Linked DNA regions of Oryctolagus cuniculus. The protein of the gene in region 2 binds, or shares a complex with, the protein of the main gene of each other region. Links are inferred from orthologs where the notes say so. Each region holds a gene or a part of one and is shown on either strand. Other genes may lie near its edges.

Region 1 (3,423 bases), on a different chromosome or scaffold from region 2:
ATTGAACAGTATAAAAGAATTAAAGTTTCATATATCAATGAGGATACTGACAAGAGTAAAAGCAACTTTTACAGCATTATATATGCTACTCATAGGTTTAAACCATGCCTATCAGCTATTGTTTATGGATACACAAACTTTCAGCAATTGGAAAACAGAATGATTGACATTAAATCCAGGACAGTGTCCAAGAGATGAGGGAAGGGAACGCGGAGAACGTTTATTTGCAGAATTTATCTCTTAAAAATCAAAACAAAATCAGGACAAATACGGCAAAATGTCAAGGTTTGATACACCTAGAGGATGAAGCCAAAGATATACCTTATAAATTTTCCACACTTTAGGAATGAATTGTCAAGCTGAAAAGAGCAAAACAAAACTGCTTTTTAAAGTTCTTGCTCTCCGGGCAGCGTTCCTCTCTTTGGCTGTAGTTGTCTCTCTATCCCTCAACTGTTTTTTGGAGAACACAATCTATCAGGCTGTACGAATATCCAAAAAGGATATCCTAAGATAAGTATGGGTTTGTTTTTTCCTCAAGTATTTCTACCGCCGTGAATTTTAAACCAAAAGGTAAAACATAAAGCGAAAATCAGATGCAAAGGAGGAGCCAACCGAAGGCAGACGCGTCGCCGCGGGAACAAAGCCTTTCCCGCGGGCGCTAACGGCTCCGAAGGGGACGCGGGCGCGCGCGGCACCTGGCCGAGTGCGGGCCGGGGTCGTGGGGGTCGGCGTGGAGTCGCCGGGGGCCACCAGCCCGAGAGGCGAGACCGAAGGAGTGTGCGCCGGGGGCGCCCAAGCGACTCGGCCCCGGGGCTGTGCAGGGTCACCGAACGGGAACGGCGGCCCCGCTAGAGCGTGGGACCAGAGGTCGCGTCTGCCGACCTCAGTAAGCCACCCGATTGTGAAGGGGCTACCGTGCCGCCTCGTCAGCGCCTAATTACACCAAGGGTTTATTTTCTTGGTTGCCTGTGCCACTGGCCCACTGGCCCACTTTCTCTTAGCACCGGGCCGACAACGCATGCTCCCCGCCTCTGGGGTTCTGCCCTCCATTCAGCTCTTAAACCGCGGTCTCGGAAGAGACCACAAATCCCAGCATGCAAGACGCTACGTCAGTACAGGGCCACCCACGGACCACCAAGTGGACCATCATGCAACGCTCTCCGAGGGCGGGGGGCGGGACTCTGTTAAAGGGGCGGGACAGTTTCAGTGTCGCTAGGGCAACTCCAATACGGCTTCAAAATGTGCTTCCGCTTCCGCGTCCTCCGCCACTCCGTCGCTGTGACGCAATTTCTCTGCGACTGAGCGAGGCTGCCGGTTCCGTGTGCTGGCCTTTCTCCGGCGGGAAACCCGAGACCGGTTCCTAACCCTCGTGCGACTTCTGACTTCGGAGCGAAAGGGAAAGCGGCAAGATGACAGACCGCTACACCATCCACAGCCAGCTGGAGCACCTGCAGTCCAAGTACATCGGCACGGGCCACGCCGACACCACCAAGTGGGAGTGGCTGGTGAACCAGCACCGCGACTCCTACTGCTCCTACATGGGCCACTTCGACCTTCTCAACTACTTCGCCATCGCGGAGAATGAGAGCAAAGCGCGAGTGCGCTTCAACTTGATGGAGAAGATGCTGCAGCCTTGCGGCCCCCCCGCTGACAAGCCCGAGGAAAACTGAGACGGCGCCTCCTCCAGCGAGCCTCCCGATCGCCGGCGTTGCCCGCGCGTTCCTGTCTCCAGTGGACTGGTTCTTCCGCGACTCCTTGCTTCTCCGGCCTTCCGGGTGCAGAAGTGCTCGCCGAGGTGTCCCGCCGGTGCTGTCTTCACGTGGATCCCTCGGGACGCAGCACCAGGACCGCCGGGGCTCCCTGAGAACTGCGGGTGAAGAGGTCCGAGAGCTGGCGGGCGTTGGGGAAGACGGCACTGGAGTGAGGGGATTTGGAGGCTCGTGTTTGACTTAGTTGATTGTCGCGTTGCCTTTTTCATAAAGTTTAGAATCTGTTAAGTCTCTTGGTGTGATCTGTTTGTGTTCCAGGGGAGAAGGCTGGGGAGGACTCGGAACCAAAGGTTCTGTGCGTGTGCAAGTAGGAGAGGGTGGGTGGAGGGCACAGAACCAGCCTGCCTTGCCAGGCACTGAAATCCGCCCAGCATGCCCTTTGGGGAGCTTCAGAAAGCCCCTGGAAGGTTAAGCCTCCGCCTGCAGTGCCAGCATCCTATATGGGCAGCTGGTTGGAGGCCTGGCCCCTGCACTTCTGATCCAACTTCTTGCTAATGCTCCTGGGAAAGCAGAGAAGGGTAGCCCAAGTGCTTGGGCCACAGGCACCCATGTGGGAGACCCGAAAGAAGCTCCAGGTTTCAGTCTAACCCAGCCCTGGCCATTGCTGCCATCTGGGGAGTGAACCAGCAGATGGAAGATTCTCTTTCTCCGACTCTGTATTTCTAACTTTAAAATAAATGAAATTTTATTATTTTTTTTAATTTTTTTATTTTTGACAGGCAGAGTGGACAGTGAGAGAGAGAGACAGAGAGAAAGGTCTTCCTTTGCCGTTGGTTCACCCTCCAATGGCCGCCGCGGCCGGTGCGCTGCGGCCGGCGCACCGCACTGATCCGATGGCAGGAGCCAGGAGCCAGGTGCTTTTCCTGGTCTCCCATGGGGTGCAGGGCCCAAGCACCTGGGCCATCCTCCACTGCACTCCCTGGCCACAGCAGAGGGCTGGCTTGGAAGAGGGGCAACCGGGACAGAATCCGGCGCCCCGACCGGGACTAGAACCCAGTGTGCCGGTGCCGCTAGGCAGAGGATTAGCCTAGTGAGCCGCGGCGCCGGCAAAATAAATGAAATTTTAAAAGCCCCTAGAAAGTTCGACTTCTAATTCCATTTTTCCATCAACTTTGTGAAGCCTCCTTGTGTTCAGAACTCAGATTTACCTGAAAAAAAATTTTCAGATCCATAGTGCCTTCAGGTTTGAGGTTTTTTTTATTATTCTACCTTTTTCTTTCATTTTAAACCGCATCCCTTGGGAATTTCTGACTGTTCTTCAGAAATGACAAGCTGGCAAGCAAGTTGTTCTTTCGTCACCTAACGTATTTGTTGGGTTTTATGTGATAGGCTTTTTGCTATACTTTGGGGGCTTACATTATGCTGGTAAACAACGCCAAAGTGTTGGCATAATCAGCAAGTGTTAGAAGATGCTAGGGCCTGAGAGCAGAGAGGCTTGCAGTTTTTTGTTTTTCTGTTTTTTTTTTGTTTGTTTGTTTTTTTGTTGTTTTTTTTTTTTTTTTTTTTTTTTTGACAGAGTGGACAGTGAGAGAGACAGAGAGAAAGGTCTTCCTTTGCCGTTGGTTCACCCTCCAATGGCCGCCGTGGCCGGCGTGCTGCGGCCAGTGCACTGCGCTGATCAGGAGCCAGGTGCTTCTCCTGGTCTCCCATGGGG
Region 2 (5,962 bases):
ATTTAAAATAAGAGTTCTTGGGAGGTTATATGATTTTGGCCAGCAGAGTTAAATGATAGGGTGAATGTTAAGTCTTCAGTAAACATATTTTTTCCTTTCTGATACTTTCAAACTGTTGAAATAAATCAGAACTTTTTCCTATTAGTACTTTCATGTCATATGTAGTTTCTTTTAATACTTTCAGGTCAATAGGTCAAAAGCTCTTAGTTTTTGTGGACTGATTATGTTAGATGTTGGTGCTAATGAAATTATAGAGTAGCAGTTAGCAGTCAAAAGATGGAGCAGTGGGCTGTGAATTAAACAGATTAAAGTGATTCATGCAGGGTTGAAAAGGGCAGCTGGAACATAAAAACTATTTGCTATAATTGTGTTACCATCTTGCCATCGCTGCTACATTCCTCTATTTCATAGTGCATCATTCATTCATTCATTCATTCAGAAAATACTTACTCAGCACCTATTAAGTGTCAGGCACAGCTCTATATGCAGAGAACACACCAGTGAGCAAGACAGACAAGATTCCTGCTTTCCTGGAACTTATGTTCTAATACAAGAAGATAGACAACAATAATAAAATAATATTAATAATAATAGCTAACATTTACTTAGCAAGTATTATTTGCTGAGACAGTTCTAAGCACTTTACAAATATTCATTCTTACAGTCACATTATGAAGTAGGAACTAGAATTTTCTCCATTTTATACATGAGGAAACTGAGCGCATTAGAAAGGGAAAATAACTTGCCTAAGGTTATACAGCTACAAAAGGGCAGAACTGGAGTTTAGAACCAAGACAGTCGGGCTTTCGCTTAATGGCTTTGCTATGCTGCCTCTCAGACAAGCAACAAAGCAATAAAGAAGGAACAGAACAGGTTCAGGTAGTATTCACTGGTATGAAGCAGGATAATGATACGACTTTGCATGCTGGAGGGGCGGGGATGCAAATGCAGAGGTCAGGGAAAATCTCCCTGGGGAGGTAGCATTTGAACTGCTACTTGAAGGATGGCAACAGTTATCTTGGACTATAGGCAACAGAGAAAAGCCACTATAAAGTTCTAAGGTAAGGACCAATCCTGCCTTATTTTATGAAACAGAAATGCCCACGTAGCTGCACCTCCAGCCATGGAGAGTCTGGTGTGTAACAATGACTGCTTCAGAGTGAAATCAGGGAGATAAGGCAGGAGCCAGACTCCACAGGCCACGGTGAGAAAGGTGGTCTTTAATCTAAGTGCAGGGGGTTTTATGCAAGTGAGGAATGCTAGCTATGATTAATCACTATCCAGGTGGAAGATGATGGTGGTTTTGATGAGATCATGATTGTGGAATGGAATTTAGGGTAAATTTTGACAAGACTTGCGAAGGAACAGGATGTGAATAGTGAAGCAAAAGCAACTGTTAAGTAGGTGCCCTGGGGTTTTTGGTTTGAGTAACTAGTGTGATGGCTGCATCCTTTACTGATGTGCAGGACTTGGGGAGGAATATATTTGAAAGAAAAAGCAAACACACACAAAATTTTCCAACTTGAACCTTACAGAGGAAGGCGCTTTTTCTACATTGGTTTCACTTAAAAGTTTCAAAGAAAGAATTTTCAGGAAAAATCCTTCAATGTTCAATTTTGACACTAAATTGGGAAAACTTAAATTTTCACTGGTTTAACAAATACTGCGCAGGATACTACCATGTGTGACACTCTACCAGGAAGGACTAAACAAACAAGATCCCTGCTCTCAGAGTGCTTGTTTCTCAGGGGAGAAAGAAAAACGACTGGTGATTTACTTTTTGCCTTTTCCTGGTCTTACTACAACCTCCCCTAATGCATCAGTAGCCATCTTAATAATTCCACCCCGTGCCACTGGCGGTTGGGCCCACCGTTCTAAACGTTCAAGGTCGTAAACGCTAATGCTGACATCTCCCCTCTCACAGAACTTAAGGGCATTTTAAAGGGAAAAAAAAAAAAAAAACTTAGCAAACAATACGAATACAACCTTTGCTGTGAAGTCTAATATTTTTGCAGGAATGGTACCTTTATAAAGATCGTGGTTGCCCCCGCACATATTTGTTCTTTCTTCATATCCAATTAAATGAAAACACTAGTGTTTCCGCAGCCTAGTTTTCTAGGCTTGTTGGCTCTAGCTCAGGAGAAAGGATGGAAACAGAATCGTTGGATTTAAACTGTTTGGTGAAATCCCTTTGCACGCTCTCTCCCGCTAGCCATGGATGTGGTGTCGGCTACACCGGGTTTTCCATCCACGCAGTGCCGGAATGAAGGAGTCTGGGAGGGGGGGTTGGGGAAGGGAAAGACGGAAGAGACATTAAGTAACTGGCTCTCGAAAGCGTAAGATGATGTTCAAGGTCTGCTCTAAAGCACTGATTTCAAATGCCCGCCCCCTGGGCCGTTTCAGCCCCGCCCCTTGATGTCGTCACACCGACTTCCACTTTGGCCTCTGAGGATTGGTCGTTGCCGCCACCTCTTTGGGGCGGTTAAAAATGCTCGGGTTTTGCTTCCGGGTCTTGGGCTTTGGCCCTGGGCGCAGAGGTTTCTGGGAGCTATCAAGCACAATGGCGTCTGTATGATTTTCCGTGAGTGTAGTATCGGACGTCTTCCTAGGTGAGCGGCACGGGGAGAGCAGTTTGTGTTTCTTATCCGGGTGGCGTGGGAGACGGCAGTCGGGGTCAGAGTTGGCGTTGGCCGAGTGCCGAGCGCCGGCGGGAAAGACCGGGAGCCGCGGACGGGCGGTGGAGCCCGGTGCCGGCCGGGCGCGCCCGCAGCCCCCGGCCTCCAGCGCGGAACGAAGCTCTGCCCTCTGTGGCTTTAAGCCGGGGCTTGAAGCAGGCCAGCCAGGCGAAAGGCGGGCTCCCGGGCGGCCGGAGTGATCAACCTGAAGCTTTTGGGAAGCGGCGGCGCCCCCGACCCTAGAAAACCTGCTTCTCTCTCTCCTTACGCAGGCTTTCACGGCCTTTTGGAAACCGAGGGAAGCATACAAAATAATCCTGCCGTCTTCTGCACCCTCCCCAGACACTTGCTTTTCTGACGTTAACGGGCTTTTGGGCTCTTAGTAGCCCCATCAGCTGGGCAGTATTCTTTCCGTTATCAGATTCCTTTGAGGATTAGGTTTCTGTCATTGGAGCATTTCTTAAATTGTAGCCTGACGTGTATGTTGTGAGGACTGTCCCAGGAGAAAATCGAATCCACAAGATTGTTGGAGAATGTTTCCCACTGATTTTCAGCACACTTACCTCTGGGACACTTAAGAGTTTGTCAGTGATTTTTAAATTTTCTTTCTTTTTGTCTTTTCCTTAAGGACATTTAAACTAAGGTTTAAACTGAGAACTTTTAGGGCTTTGACATGTGGGATCTCATAATTCTTTGAGGAATAGCCCCATTCTATAAATGAAAGATTGGTCACTTGTCCAAGGCCACACAGAAGGGGAACAGGAGCAGAAACTCAGGTCTTCACCACAGAATTTTTGGTGTGAGATAAAAGCTGCCCTTGCACCTCATAATTGGTTTCCTTCAGAACTTTGGTTTGGGAGGGTTATTGAAGCAAGTTTTGAGATTATTTCACAAGGATGGATATTTGTTTAGTACCTTACACAGTGAAAGTATGTCGCATTAGAAACAACTTTGTTTTCCCCCATAGCGTCAAAGATGACGACAGCAGCCAGACCAACTTTTGAACCTGCAAGAGGTGGAAGAGGAAAAGGGGAAGGTGATCTGAGCCAACTCTCAAAGCAGTATTCCAGCCGAGACTTACCTTCCCATACAAAGATAAAATATAGGTATAAAGACTCGCAGCTTTTTCTTGCTCATGAAATAGGCCTAATCTGTTGAAAAGCATGGCCATGATGTGTAGTAGGGGTAGGTTTGAATTGTATCACTTCAGTTACCATTTTCAGAGGAATAGAATACAATAGAAAGTTTAACATCAAAATTACACTCTGTGATTTTAAAGTTCTATCCCCTTCCTGCAGCCCAAATTCTTATTATCCAGGAGTTTCCATATGGAGATGGAATGGTAGCTAGTGGATTATCTCAGAGAAACTATGCACTTACCAGCATTAGTCAACATGACATTGAAAGCGTTACTGTAACAGGCCCTGAATTTCTAATAATACAACAATTAAATACCTGCTTTTAGGGAAAAAATTATTTATTTTATTTGAAGAGCGGAGTGAAAGAGATCCCCCATCTGCTGGTTCACTCCCCAAACGCCTGCAACTGTCAGGGCTGGGCCATACTTAAGCCAGGAACCAAGAACTCAATCTGTGTCTCCCATGTGGTAGATGACAGGGACCTGAGTACTTGAACCATCACCTTCTGCCTTCCAGAGTTCACATTACTGGGAAGCTGGAATGGAGAATAAAGATGAGTCTCAAACCCAGACACTCCTTTATGGAGTGTCCCAAACAACACCATAACCACTGAGCCAAGTGCATAGTTCAAAAAATTAAGGACATTATAATAAATCTGTAGCTGTATTATGGGAAAGTATGCAGTTCAACCTTCAGATTGTGTCATAATTCTGACAACTTTCCTCTTAGGCTTAAAGGACAAAGTTGCTGTGATGAATTATATTTCATTGCTACAGCCATGTATTTTTTTCTTTCTAGTAACCTTTTGACCCTGATTGGTTTATAATTTAGGCAAACTACTCAGGATGCCCCTGAAGAGGTTCGTAACCGGGACTTCAGGAGAGAGCTGGAAGAGAGAGAGAGAGCTGCTGCCAGAGAGAAAAATAGGGATCGTCCAACCCGGGGTACTAACGCTATCCCAAACGTTTGTCTCATAAAATTATGTTCTCCATATTTTTTTATGTGTTAATTAGAAACTGTTAATATTTCTGTTTGTTTGCTTTTAAGTATTAGTGTGAATTACAGTGCTTTCTTAACTAGCCTAGAAGTGATGATCAGGTTTAGGTTCCCAACATGTATAAACTATTCCCTGAATTTCCTGAGGCCGCAGTTCCTGTATAAAATCAGTGCTTTCATTAAGTCATTCGATAAATATTTATCCAAATGCTTATCTGCTAGCCACTGTATGAGCCCTGCTGCTGGGATGCTTTTAGTGTGATTGTTTTGTGCCCATGAGTCCCTGAATCGTAAGAAACGTGTGTCAGTAACTAGGTGATGTTTGCCTACCCCCAGAACATACAACTTCCTCTTCAGTATCCAAGAAGCCTCGGTTAGACCAGATTCCTGCTGCCAACCTTGACGCAGATGATCCTTTAACAGACGTATGTTTCATTTCCTACTTTCACCTCTTATCTAGTCATTTTTTACTGCATTTTTCTGAAATATATTTTTATGCTTTTGTATTTAAGAAGTCACATGTGTTTGTTTTCACTCACTATTGTTCAAATGCAGCCCTAAGCTCAATGTTAAACTTTGCAGTTGACTTTAAAATAAAAGATGTTATTTTGTGTTAAGAACTTCACAAACAAATTTGATCTATGAAGAACCAAAAATGGAAGCAATCTGTTGAAATGTGTACTTTCCCCCCAAAATAATTTCCTGTATTAAACCTAGAGGTGGGGCTACCAGGTTATTCACAGGGTACTCTTATACTAGGTTTTCCATAAACAGTACCCTCTCAGTTAATATTGAAATCCATGGAGACCCTACAGTCTGTAATTAATTTGTAGGTTTCTATAGACAATGAAAAAAATCTGAATGGCTTTTCATGGATAGTTTCTAATTATGTATATAAGCAATTAATTCTAGACTTGACGGAGTTACAGTAATTAAATAGAATACTGATTTTACATGAAACTTAAATGATTATTCATTTCAAAATATTTTCTTCTAGAAATTTGGCATTCTGTTCATGCTATTGATTATCCTTGCTGGTTTAAAGTTGTTCTGAGCTACATAAAGTGTTTTGACTCTTTAGAGTGATACAGTGTGCATTTATACAGTGTTTCAGTGTAAAATTTTCCTCTCTGGTTTTGGAAACCTTCTCAG
Region 3 (5,115 bases), on a different chromosome or scaffold from region 2:
CCAGCTCTGGCCATTGTGGCCATTTGGGGAGTGAACCAGAGAATGGAAGATATTTCTCTCTGTGTAACTCTGCCTTTCAAGTAAAATAAATTTTAAAAATGTTCAATTAGGGCCGGCACTGCGGCTCACTAGGCTAATCCTCCGCCTTGTGGCGCCGGCACACCGGGTTCTAGTCCCAGTCAGGGCGCCGGATTCTGTCCCGGTTGCTCCTCTTCCAGGCCAGCTCTCTGCTGTGGCCAGGGAGTGCAGTGGAGGATGGCCCAGGTGCTTGGGCCCTGCACCCCATGGGAGACCAGGATAAGTACCTGGCTCCTGCCATCGGATCAGTGTGGTGCGCCGGCCGCAGCGCGCTGGTCGTGGTGGCCATTGGAGGGTGAACCAGCGGCAAAAGGAAGACTTTTCTTTCTGTCTCTCTCACTGTACACTCTGCCTGTCAAAAAAAAAAAATGCTTAATTAGGGCATCATCCCATATCCTGAAAGGGGCGACCCCAGCTTTGCGGGGGCAGTACCCTTCCTTCTCATGAAGAGAGGTTGCCTCTTCGCCATCTGAGTACCTAAATCCTGCTTTCCCGTACGCCCTTAGGGTGTTCCTCCAATTACTTCACCGAGTGGAGACAAGAACTTGGAGCAGGTGCAGCCAGGAGTGTCCAGCATATTGCAAAATGGCAGTGGGGGGCCCTCCTGCCCAGACGTGTAGGTACCATACATCTTTCACGCCTCGCATCTTCCGTAATGACTGCGAACCCCTCCCATGGGCAGAGGATTCGGTATGAGAATGAAGCTCAGGTAAGGTCATGGAGATCTGACTCAAACTATGGGATTCCTCTTAGGCTGAGGGTCTGGCCCCTCCCAGGGCAGTGCTGGAACATTCTTTGAAAAGCAAGCTCAGCAGTTGAGATTGGTCTGCCCCTCCTCCCGGTTCTGCCTCAATCCTAGGCCTTCAGTTACAAAATTTGGGTGACCCGGTGGCTGGCAGTCCGTTCAGGAGACAGGAGAGTAAGGAGGCAGCGGGACAAGAATTCTGCTTTCTCAGCAGGCGTGTTAAATCCGAGATCAGTGGTTTGAGAGTCCACAGCGCCGGCACCTCAGCTTGGCGAGTCCCGAGACGCAAGTGCTGCTGGCCAGGGTCACCCGGGGCCCCAGCGTTGGACCCAAAGTGGCTCAAGAAGAGACAGAAGGGACCAAGCGACGGTCCATGGCCACCTGTCGCTGGGCTGCCGAGGGGCGTGGAGGCTGTCGGACACAATGCACTCTGGGAATGGGATACGAGCGAGCAGGCAGCTAAATGGGGCGGTGCGAGGAGAGAACAGCTCCGCCAAGAAAGAGGGGGCTCAAGCTAGCGCGGCCTCCCTCAGTCCAGGGTCTCAGGTACCACACCGCGCCCAGACCCCGTTGGAGCATGCGCACTCGGCGGCAGGGAAACCCGACAGTTCCCGGCATGCCAAGCGCCCGCTTCCGGCGTGGGCCCGCGGATCCCGGAAGTAGCTGCCCGACTACTCGGCGGCGTCTGTGGGCTCGCGGTTGCTGGCCGTGACTTTTCCGCGCTCGAAGACCCCACCGCCGCGCTCGCCGCCATGGGGAAACGCCAGCACCAGAAAGACAAGATGTACGTGGAACCGCGTCGGGGGAGCGGCTCGCCGCTGCGCGCCCGGCCCCGCGCTTGGCCGGGGCTTCGCGTCGCTCCTCTTCCCTCGCAGAGTCGAGTCCCCAGGACTCCTCCCGGAAGCCCCCTGCCCACTCCCCAGGCCGGGCAGTGACACCGCTGCCCCCAGCCCCTGCGGTAGCCCGGGGATCCGGCAGCCGCGTCTCGGGCCCCCCGGGGTTGGAAGCGAGCGAGCCCCGGCCGCCGTCGCGTTTCTTCGCCTTTTCCGAGTGACGAGCCCCGGTCTGCTGCTGTCTCTCGAGTCCGCTGGGGCCAGGCTTTCACAGCCCCTGTCCCCCGCCTTGAGTCCTTGTTGCCGAGCTTGGGGTCATCCAGTCATTTCTCAAGCCCGTGGCGTTGACCTCTGCGATCTCGCGTGCGTGGTTTTCCCGCAAACTTCAGCGGCCTCCCCTTTTCTCGGGTTCGTCGGCCGGGCCCCCTCCTCCCGTTTCTCCCAGGCCTCACAGGTTACTGTCTGTGGCGGGGGTCTTGAAGCAGTCTGTTCAGCCCGGCATCTCCGCTTCGGCGGTCTGATACAGACCGCATTTTAATCTGATCATCGGAAATAGAACCCAGCCCTGGAGTTTGCCTCTCTCCTTCCTGTCTCAGTGATAGGCTGAGAATTAAAAAAAATTTTTTTTTAAAGATATTTGTATTGATGTGAAATGCGGAATGACACAGGGAGAGAAAGAAAGATCTACCATGCACTGGTCCAGTCCCCCAAGTGCCCCACAGCCAGGGCTGGGCCAGGAACTCCATGCAGGTCTCCCACGTGGGTAGTAGGGACCCCAAGTGACTTGAGCCATCCTCTGCCGCCCCCCAGGTGCCTTGGCAGGGAGCTGGTCAGAAGCAGAGGGGCGGGGTCTGATTCCAGGCGCTCTGGTACGGTATGCGGGTGGCAGCCTCACTCACCGCACCACAGCGCCCACCACAGACAGGGTTTTCCGACCTTACCGTGGTGTGAAAGCAATGTGTGCTGGGGGCCAGTGCTGTGGCGTAGTGGGTAAAGCTGCCACCTGCAGTGCCGGCATCCCAGATGGGCACTGGTTCGAGTCCTGGCTGCTCCTCTTCTCATCCAGCTCTCTGTTGTGGCCTGGGAAAGCAGTAGAAGATGGCCCAAGTCCTTGGGCCCCTGCACCCACGTGGGAGACCCGGAGGAAGTGGTCAATTCCTGGTGGATTTTCTGCTGCTGCTCTGGCTGTCTTCCTACGCACAGCAGCCAGGGCGAGGCTTTGCGGCTGATGTCAGATCCTGCCTAGCAGGGCCCTGGCTCCGAACCCTCCGTGGTCTCCCACCCACTGAGGAAGACCTGCGAGGCCCCTCCCCATCCGTCTTCCTCCGCTGCCACCCGCCGGTGCCCGCAGCTCCCCAGCGACATCTGTCTGTTCTTCCTGCCTTGGGCATCGGTACCCGCTGTGGCTGCGGGCCCCGCCCGTGTGTCTGCCTGGAGGGCTCTTCCCCCAGGTCTGCCCGTGCCGGCCGCTCTCATGTGTCAGGTCTTCCTGGGTGAATCACCTCCTTTCCTTCTGAGCAGCGCAGGGCCGTCTGTGTTTATTTATTTATGGGTTTGTGCAGCCCCGTGTCTGCCGTGTTCACCCCTGGCTGGCCAGTGGCAGCGTAGTGATATCTCTCCCTCCCTCTCCCCGTCCCCTCCCCCTCCCCCTCTCAGGTACATCACCTGTGCTGAATACACTCACTTCTATGGTGGCAAGAAGCCAGGTAAGGCATGGGAGTCTTCTCTGCCCCGAGGACAGGGGTGTACAGAGGATGGGTGGCCCCATTATACAGGCAGCCCGTGGTCTGTGCAGGACAGCTGGGCCGAGGACTCCATTCACGGAAGAGGAAAGATGCCCCACCCACTGGCGATTTTTTTAAAAATATGGCTTAAAATAACCAAAGTGCTCCAGGCTGTGGTGAAAAGAACCCTGGTCTACATTTTTTCTTTTTCTTTTTCTTTTTTTTTTTATTTCAAAGTCAGAGTTACCAGAGAGAGAAGGAGAGGCAAAGAGAGAGGCAGAGAGAGAGAGAGAGAGGTCTTCCATCTGCTGGTTCACTCCCCAATTGGCCGCAACAGCTGGAGCTGGACTGATCTGAAGCCAGGAGCCAGGAGCTTCCTCCAGGTCTCCCACGTGGGTGCAAGGGCCCAAGGGTTTGGGCCATCTTCTACTGCTTTCCTAGGCCATAGCAGAGAGCTGGATCAAAAGAGCAGCCAGGACTTGAACTGGCACCCATAAGGGATGCCGGCACTGGAGGCGGCAGCTTTACCCCCTACACTACAGTGCTGGCCCTCTTTTTTTTTTTTAAGATCTAGTTATTGGCCGGCGCCGCGGCTCACTAGGCTAATCCTCCACCTGCAGCGCCAGCACACCAGGTTCTAGTCCCAGTCGGGGCTCCGGATTCTGTCCCGGTTGCTCCTCTTCCAGTCCAGCTCTCTGCTGTGGCCCAAGTGCTTGGGCCCTGCACCTGCATGGGAGACCAGGAGAAGCACCTGGCTCCTGGCTTCGGATCAGCGCCGTGCGCCAGCCGCAGCACACTGGCTGCAGAGGCCACTGTGGGGTGAACCAATGGAAAAGGAAGACCTTTCTCTCTGTCTCTCTCTCTCACCGTCCACTCTGCCTGTCAAAAAGAAAAAAAAAAAAAAGATTTAATTATTTATTTGAGAGTCAGAGTTACAGACAGAGGGAGAGACAGACAGATCTTCCATCCACTGACCCACTCCCCAAATGGCCACAATGGCTGATCCGAAGCCAGGAGCTTCATCTGGGTCTCTGACACTGGTGCAGGGGCCCATGCACTTGGGTCATCTTCTGGTGCTTTCGCAGGCCACAGCAGAGAGCTGGATCAGAAGTAGAGCAGCCAGGACCGGTGCTGTGGCGCAATGGGTTAACACCCTGGCCTGAAGTGCTGGCATCCCATACAGGCGCCGGTTCAAGACCTGGCTGCTCCTCTTCCAGTCCAGCTCTCTGCCATGGCCTGGGAAAACAGTAGAAGATGGCCCAGATCCTTGGGCCCCTGCACCCACATGGGAGACCCAGAAGACGCTCCTGGCTCCTGGCTTTGGATTGGCACAGAAGACCTCTCTCTCTGCCTCTCCTCTCCCTGTGTAATTCTGACTTTCAAATAAATAAATAAATCTTTAAAAAAAAAAAAAAATGGAGCAGCCAGGACTTGAACTGGCGCCCACATGGGATGCTGGCACTGTAGGCAGCGGCTTAACCTACCACGCCATAGCTCCGGCCCCTGTTGTAATTTTCACGCTCTCTCCAGCTCCTCCTCTGTCCACGCCCTCCCTGTGTTTGGTGCCCACGGCAGTGGCGGTGCTAAGTACTTGAGCACTCCTTTTCCCATAAGACAGCGGTGCTTGTGGGCAGGTACACGGAGTGGAGCTATTTGACACAGCCGGTGTTCCCCTTTTGTTCCCCACAAAACAGATCTCCCCCAGTCAAATTTCCGCCGTTTACCCTTCGACCAC

Evidence for each region.
Region 1: CWC15 (region 2) and SF3B5 share a complex: the UniProt entries of both Homo sapiens proteins name them as parts of the minor spliceosome. The link is inferred for Oryctolagus cuniculus from reciprocal best matches to the Homo sapiens genes CWC15 and SF3B5.
Region 3: CWC15 (region 2) and PPIL2 share a complex: the UniProt entries of both Homo sapiens proteins name them as parts of the minor spliceosome. The link is inferred for Oryctolagus cuniculus from reciprocal best matches to the Homo sapiens genes CWC15 and PPIL2.

What each region holds. Positions count from the first base shown.
Region 1 is NC_091436.1:24,439,666-24,443,088, forward strand, and holds SF3B5 (splicing factor 3B subunit 5), read left to right. Parts: upstream 1-1,265; 5' UTR 1,266-1,409; coding exon 1,410-1,670; 3' UTR 1,671-1,997; downstream 1,998-3,423. UniProt on the Homo sapiens protein: Component of the 17S U2 SnRNP complex of the spliceosome, a large ribonucleoprotein complex that removes introns from transcribed pre-mRNAs.
Region 2 is NC_091432.1:86,202,213-86,208,174, reverse strand, and holds the start of CWC15 (spliceosome-associated protein CWC15 homolog), read left to right. Parts: upstream 1-2,468; 5' UTR 2,469-2,609; intron 2,610-3,642; 5' UTR 3,643-3,650; coding exon 3,651-3,781; intron 3,782-4,645; coding exon 4,646-4,758; intron 4,759-5,146; coding exon 5,147-5,235; intron 5,236-5,962. UniProt on the Homo sapiens protein: Involved in pre-mRNA splicing as component of the spliceosome. Component of the PRP19-CDC5L complex that forms an integral part of the spliceosome and is required for activating pre-mRNA splicing.
Region 3 is NC_091452.1:29,125,888-29,131,002, reverse strand, and holds the start of PPIL2 (RING-type E3 ubiquitin-protein ligase PPIL2), read left to right. Parts: upstream 1-1,389; 5' UTR 1,390-1,575; coding exon 1,576-1,607; intron 1,608-3,312; coding exon 3,313-3,362; intron 3,363-5,074; coding exon 5,075-5,115. UniProt on the Homo sapiens protein: Has a ubiquitin-protein ligase activity acting as an E3 ubiquitin protein ligase or as an ubiquitin-ubiquitin ligase promoting elongation of ubiquitin chains on substrates.